Linked DNA regions of Bombyx mori. The protein of the gene in region 1 interacts with the protein of each later gene in a biochemical or structural test. Links are inferred from orthologs where the notes say so. Each region holds a gene or a part of one and is shown in the gene's direction. Other genes may lie near its edges. The genes, in order: C-terminal-binding protein and protein hairy.

Region 1 (3,833 bases):
TACAGGTCTAAGCTAACTACAACGCAAAGTGGAGAGTTCGGAAAAGGTATTTATGGGTTTTTTAAAATGTATAATATTTCCGTTACAGGACTTATTATTCCAGAGTGACTGTGTCTCACTGCACTGCAGCTTAAACGAGCACAATCACCACCTCATCAACGAGTTCACCATCAAACAGATGCGTCCAGGTAAGCCTTTTAGCTTTAAATTGCTCATAAATAATAAATAATGAGCGGTGAATGGCTATTTGGTTTAAACGACATTTTTGAAACGTTAACAGGAGAGCCATTTAAAGTTTAAAATTTGGAAAAAATATAACAAAAAAACTACTTCAGCGTAGCCTTAAATTTCTCAAAAATAATAATGAAGGGTAAAAGGCTGTTTGGTTTAAGCGACATTTTTTAAACGTTAACAGGAGAGCCATTCAAAGTTTAAAATTTGGAAAAAATATTATAACAAAACTTCTTCAACTATTTGAATGGAGAAAACTTAATTAAAGTTCAATTAAAAGTATCGAACTGTTGACGCTAATACCAAATAAAACGGAACTTTAATTAAATGTCCCGTATTAAGCGAAATATCGCTTAAACTAAATAACGTTTCACCCCTCGATATATATACTAATATTATAAAGCTGAAGAGTTTGTTTGTTTGAACGCACTAATCTTAGGTAATACTAGTCCGATTTTAAAAATTCTTTCAGTGTTAGATAGCCCATTTATTGAGGAAAGCTATAGGCTATATAACATCATGAGACCCATACAAGTGGAGCACCAATAAAGAATGTTTCAAAATATTTTCAATTTTTACGTAAATTAAATGAGTGGGGCGTAAAATTTAGCGCTATGCCAAAGTAACTATTCCACGCGGACGGAGTCGCGGGCAAAAGCTATATTTTATAAACTACAAAAAGTACACACTAAAGACATAGTAAAAATCTAACATTATCAAAACAGACTGAAATAATCTATTATCATTATTAAACTGATCAAATCAAACTGTAATAGTGTATCTGAACAATTGTATTTATTGTAATGTAATTACAAAACAATGTTATTACTTGCATTGTTTACTTGTTCACAACACTATAAAGAAAATGGAAGTATCAGTAGCAGAAAGCATGTTATCGTTTGCTTTTTACGATCGTGGACTGAAACCCAGTTTAGACTGTAGCGTTTAAAGCCTGGCTACGCGGAACATCATACTGTGTGACGTCATTTGGGGCTAAAATGTACAACAATGCTGTGTTGTCATTAGTGGTTTTTTTATTATCAATTCTAACTAGATAGAGTAGATAGAGGCCGTTACAACAGATGGGAGTATATATTTTGTCAACAATTATGGGCTTAGTACAAGTAGAATAATCGTCATTTTGAGTGAACTCGAAATTATTACTGCTTAAACTGCTGCTGTTTATGCTGTTTATGACTGCTTCATTATTGTAGTTTGGTGTCTTTACAATTTCATCCAAGTTCCACTGTGTCTTCTATATCTGGTGACGGTTCCTCTCGTATGTTCCAGGTGCGTTTCTGGTGAACACGGCGCGCGGCGGGCTCGTGGACGACGAGGGGCTCGCCGCCGCGCTCAAGCAGGGCCGCATCCGAGCCGCCGCGCTAGACGTGCACGAGAACGAACCCTTCAACGTCTTCCAGGTACGGAGCCAACGCATGGGCTGATCGTGCCTCTCTCTCTCGCTCAGGAGGAACGTGACACTTTTTCGTGCGTGCAGCCGGTGTTCAGCCGATTTATTAGACGTTGTCACGTCAAAGCTCATGGCTAATTTGTGGTTAAGTGTCTACTTATTTGCTTATAGAGATGTTAACGTGATTGCCGCTACCCAGCGGCTACCCAATATCAAACACATATATAATATAAAAAAATAATTTAACTGTTTTACAATTAAAACCATACCCCGCAACTTCTCAACCTTTTTTCAACTCTAATCTCTATTAATTAATCATTCGCAAAATAAGCAATATTTAAGTCACAAAACAGAGAGTAGAGCTCATCCATACTACCTGGAGCCACTGCGGTCATCCACAGTGCGTTTCCAGAGGTCTTTTCTGTCACGTACCGTCCGGCTTTGGAATGAGCTCCCCTCCACGGTGTTTCCCGAGCGCTGTGACATGTCCTTCTTCAAACGAGGCTTGTGGAGAGTATTAAGCGGTAGGCGGCGGCTTGACTCCGTCCCTGGTATTGCTGAAGTCCATGGGCGACGGTAACCACTCACCATCAGGTGGGCTGTACGCTCGTCTGCCTAAACGGGCAGTAAAAAAAAAAACAAAAAAAACAGCTCTAGTATTTAGGGTGTCAATGCAATAGTAGATTGTTTCATCGTAACCACTAAGTGCAAATTAGGAATTATAAATGAGTGCACGCACGGGTAGCCACCACCACCCCGCCTATTTCTGCCCTGAAGTTGTAATGCAGTTCGGTTTGAAGGGTGGAACAGCCGTTGTACTCTAAAAACTGAGACTTAGAAATGAACGTCTCAAGATGAGTGACGGAATTTACGTTGTTGATGTCTATGGGCTCCGATGATCACTTAACGCCAGAAGTATCGTTAGCTCGTCCATACATCTAAACAATAAAAAAGTAAAGATGAAACATTTCTATCTTGTTTGTCCACCTCTAATGTAGATAATAAGTGCTGTAGACATGTCCTTACGAATCCATCAGATCCATTAACCTCAGCACCGGACACCTTCAGCTCTAGCACTAGGAAGATTCCTTAGGGATCCCGGTAACCGTACTCGTCGAACCCAGCAAAGAGCTCGACGTGCAACCTAACCCATACATCAATCAACCTGCTGAGATTCTCGCTTTCTTCTCAGCGGGTCGCGATTCCGATCTGGTAGTAGATTAATCCGCGAAACAGCTGCTCTTGAGTTGTTGTTAGGTCTCAAATCCCACCCCTCTTGCCTGAGTGAGCCTTTGCTCGCCCATTGGTTTTGGTGAAACTGACTTCTGGGCCACTATTATCTTTCATTCCTAAAAAAACATAACTACGCTCCCATACAGCTATAGTCGATGATTATATTATAATGATTCAATATTCTGTTGAACTAATTTCTTGGTGTTGTAGGCTTATTTGAACGGTCACCGACCGACATTGTCCCTGTCAACCGCGTCAGCACTGACGTGTTCTGTACTTTTGCAGCAGGGTCCGCTGAAAGACGCTCCGAACCTGCTGTGCACGCCGCACGCGGCCTTCTACTCGGACGCGTCCGCACAGGAGCTGCGCGAGATGGCCGCCTCGGAGATCCGCCGCGCCATCGTCGGCCGCATCCCCGACTGTCTGCGGAACTGCGTCAATAAGGTGCGCCCACCGCTTGTGTCGATTGAGCTCCTCATCAACTGGAGCCGGTCATCGTTCGTAAATTAACCCACAGACACAGCCCTCTGAGTTTCTCGCCGGATCTTCTCAGTGGGTCGCGTTTCCGATCCGGTGGTAGATTCTGCGAAGCACGGCTCTTGCTAGGGGGCAGTGTTAGCAACGAAGGGGGGAAAAGGGACAAAATACAGCGTATAAAATAAAATACTGATTTCTTTCACCATTAGCTAGCACTGGTAGCGTAGATTAATATTATTAATACGTTTTCAACTTAAACACATATTCATGCTAATTTCAAAATTTCGGAATAAATATTACAATAAATATGAAGTTCCGGTATTTTGGAGGCATATCCATATTATCCTCTACGTTTGAAATCAAAGACCTTACCTTACCCTAAATCAATCTACCTACTCCGACCTCTAGTTATTATATATAATTTACTGGTGATAGGATCTCTTGTGAGGCCGCGCGGGTATGTACCACCACCCCATCTATT
Region 2 (3,559 bases), on another chromosome or scaffold:
ATTTCTTTTTTATTATGTTTCGGAAAGTTAATGACAAAACATGAGACAGTAAGTACCATTAATGTGAATTAGGAAACTCTTAAACATAGTCGTCAAGAATCATATTTTATTGAATACAAGTGCTTTACATTGATACTAGTTAGAGTGCTTTAATTTACTAGAATATTTAATTAAGAAATAAATTTGCTATGTTTCAAAGTTATTCTGCTTCGAACAATACTTAAATGAGACACGTCCTTACGGATCCATCAGATCCAATAACCTTTGCATTAGACGCCTTCAGCTCTAATATTAGGAGCAGGCTTAGGGACCCCGGTAACCGTACTCGTCGAACTCGACAAAGAGTTCGACGTGCAACCTAACCTATAAATCAGTTCGCTGAGTTTCTCGCCGGATCTTCTCAGCGGTTCGCGATTCCGATCCGGTAGTAGATTCATTCGCGAAGCAGCTAATCTTAAGTTGTTAGGTCTCCTTCGGAGGCGCTCGGGCAGCTGTTAGCAAATCCCACCCCTCCTGGCTGAGCCTTTGCTCGCCCACCTGTCCTGGTGAAACTGGAAAGGCCTCCAGGCATCCTGTAACACTTCAATCATAAAAAAAATAAAATGAGATTGAACGAACAAAACTTTAAGGCGTTCGAGTTGAAATTTATATACAGTATGTAACTTTTAACGGTAGGCAGCGGCTTCGTTCTACTTCTGGCATTGCTGATGTACATGGGCGACGGTAGCCACACATCGGGTGCGGCGGTTTGCTCGTCTGCCTACAAGGGCAATAAAAAAAAACTACATAAGTATCTAAACCATTATCTAATGTATTGTAGAATTTTAACTCGTCATGTGAGTAATGACCGCGTCACGACAAAAGAGGCGCGCATCGTGGATCTCACGACTAAACGCGACCTTCACCTTGAAGTGAGGCGACACACACGCGCCATCAAATTCGTATTGTTACACGACATTAATCACGTCTGTCACGTGTCTGTTTTTACCACGGTTTCTTTTTGCGCATTCGTTAACAAGATAAGTAAGGCTATATTTAGCACTAATTTGTTTCGTAATTTTCATTCTATTGTTACATATGTATGTACATTATAAACACGTCCTATCTAGATTACTGATAAAATTAAAATTAGTACTATTATGACAGACACGCTCTCGTAAAATGATGATGTTTGATGAATAAAGGATTTTAGTGGTGATTAAAGGGATATCGTGAGCACGGCGAGAAACTGCGTGTTTCAGTTTGAAAGCTGGCACAGCCCTTATAACACAATACAATTGTGACTTCAATCTCATGTGTCAAGGAATGGGTAGTAGGGTTCTGATTTTATAACCCACTGCCGATGCCGTCGGGTATCGTCTTGTTACTTCACTACACAGTATAAAACAAAATCGCTTTCTCTGTCCCTATATCCCTATGTATACTTAAATCTTTAAAACTACGCAACGGATTTTGATGCGGTTTTTTTTTAATAGATAGTGTGATTGAAGAGGAAGGTTTATATGTATAATAACATCCATTAAATAGTGGAGAAATCAATAATAAATCACAGTTTCCGAAGCGAAGCGAGGGCGGGTCGCTAGTAGAACAATAAAAAGCATCTATTTACTACTATCTTTACAGCCGCTTCTACTATTATTTTTGTTACGAGAATCGCCCCTTTCGACTAGATCTAAATATGTATTATTATGCTGCACTCCGCAATCGAAAAATCTTCAGCTAACTATTGTGGGTTGCTGCTTTCTTAAAGTTACGAAAACACTTAGAAAATTTCGACATAATCGAACAACTGACGCTTAAACACAAACAAATCTACATATAGATATGAAAGAAATACACAAAAAGGACAGATGTAAAGTAGAATAATTATGTAACGGAAAGTATAAGTATTTTGCCGTACATTGCGTGTAGGATCTCGTGATCAGTGTCGTGTATAAGTGGATGCAAATTTACTGATACACAAAGCACATTCGCATGTAACATATTATAATAATATTATTCCTATTCCTTCTTACTTGGAATAGGCGTGTTTGAACATAATAGCAAAGTGTTAATTTTTTTACCCAAGTGCGGTAACATAATTGTATTATGCACACACGTCAATTTCTTCTTTCGTTTTTTTTTTTCTAAATACTGTTAACGCAAACAGCATTTATAATAATAATCATAATAATCATGACAATAAAAAAATGAATGGCTTAAAATATCAAAAGTGTAACTTAGTTTTTTTTTTTTTAAATACACTTCTACACTGATTATAATAATAAACAGGAAGGTTAATTTAAAAAAATTAACATGTCCATTTGTTACAGAGTAACAAGCCAATTATGGAGAAGAGACGTCGGGCGCGCATCAACAACTGTCTCAACGAGTTGAAAGCGCTGATCTTAGACGCGATGAAAAAAGATGTAAGTAATATGTGTATATACGAATAATTTTCCCGATGCTAATCTGTAGAATTTCAATTATGTACGTAAAATTGACTTCGTAGATGTTCCCAAAACTGAAAATTTACATGTTTACAAGACGATTTATTTCGAATTCGTGTTTTCTATTATAACTTCATATTTATAGGTTACTAGCGACCCACCCTCGCTTCGCTTCGGAAACTTTAATTTATTATTGGTTTTTCCACTATTTAATGGATATTATTATACACATAAACCTTCCTCTTCAATCACTCTATCTATTAAAAAAACCGCATCAAAATCCGTTGCGTAGTTTTAAAGATTTAAGCATACATAGGGATATAGGGACAGAGAAAGCGACTTTGTTTTATACTATGTAGTGATTTTTTATATGCCCTTTCAAAAAAATGTTCTAGAATTGTTTTGTGACGTTTATTTTTCTTTCAACAGCCAGCTAGACATTCGAAGCTCGAAAAAGCCGACATATTAGAAATGACAGTGAAGCATCTAGAAGGTCTACGGTCAGAGGGTGCCGTTTCACCGGACAAGTTCCGGGCCGGCTATAGACAGTGCGTCACAGAGGTGGCAAAGTTCCAAGGCATGGAGCCTGCATTGCGGAGAAGGCTCGTCAGGCATTTGGAAACCTGCGTTAATAGCACTTCTGGAACAAGGCCTGCAAGTGCACCCACACCGCCTTCGGATACAGACGACCCCGGCAACCAACATTCCACAATTTTCATTGCTGGTAACGGTCATTGTTAATTATACACCTTCACTTTAAATATTTAAAAAAATAGTAGTTAAATATATCCAAGTTCAAAGCTTTTCATGCACCCAGTAATGGTACATAATAATTTCAGATTTTGCGAGTCGTAGACGTAATTAAAACAAATTTTACGGTTTTAATCTCACATTTTTACTGTCATACATTTTTGACGTTTTGACTTTTATTTTATTTTACTTTTTTTTTTTCCTAGGTGGACAGACGAGCTTACAGCCCACCTGGTGTTAAGTGGTTACTCGGGCCCATAGACATCTACGACGTAAATGCGCCACCCACCTTGAGATATAAGTTCTAAGGTCTCAAGTATAGTTACAAATTTTACACCTTCACTTTAAAATAGTAGTTAAACGTATCCAAGTTCAAAGCT

What was found.
Region 2: the proteins of C-terminal-binding protein (region 1) and protein hairy form a complex in vitro, tested with the Drosophila melanogaster proteins (2 studies listed by BioGRID). The link is inferred for Bombyx mori from reciprocal best matches to the Drosophila melanogaster genes CtBP and hry.

What each region holds. Positions count from the first base shown.
Region 1 is NC_085132.1:10,087,674-10,091,506, forward strand, and holds part of C-terminal-binding protein, read left to right. Parts: intron 1-88; coding exon 89-188; intron 189-1,521; coding exon 1,522-1,652; intron 1,653-3,160; coding exon 3,161-3,319; intron 3,320-3,833. UniProt on the Drosophila melanogaster protein: Corepressor targeting diverse transcription regulators. Hairy-interacting protein required for embryonic segmentation and hairy-mediated transcriptional repression.
Region 2 is NC_085114.1:6,574,322-6,577,880, reverse strand, and holds part of protein hairy, read left to right. Parts: intron 1-2,312; coding exon 2,313-2,408; intron 2,409-2,858; coding exon 2,859-3,153; intron 3,154-3,559. UniProt on the Drosophila melanogaster protein: Pair-rule protein that regulates embryonic segmentation and adult bristle patterning. Transcriptional repressor of genes that require a bHLH protein for their transcription (e.g. ftz).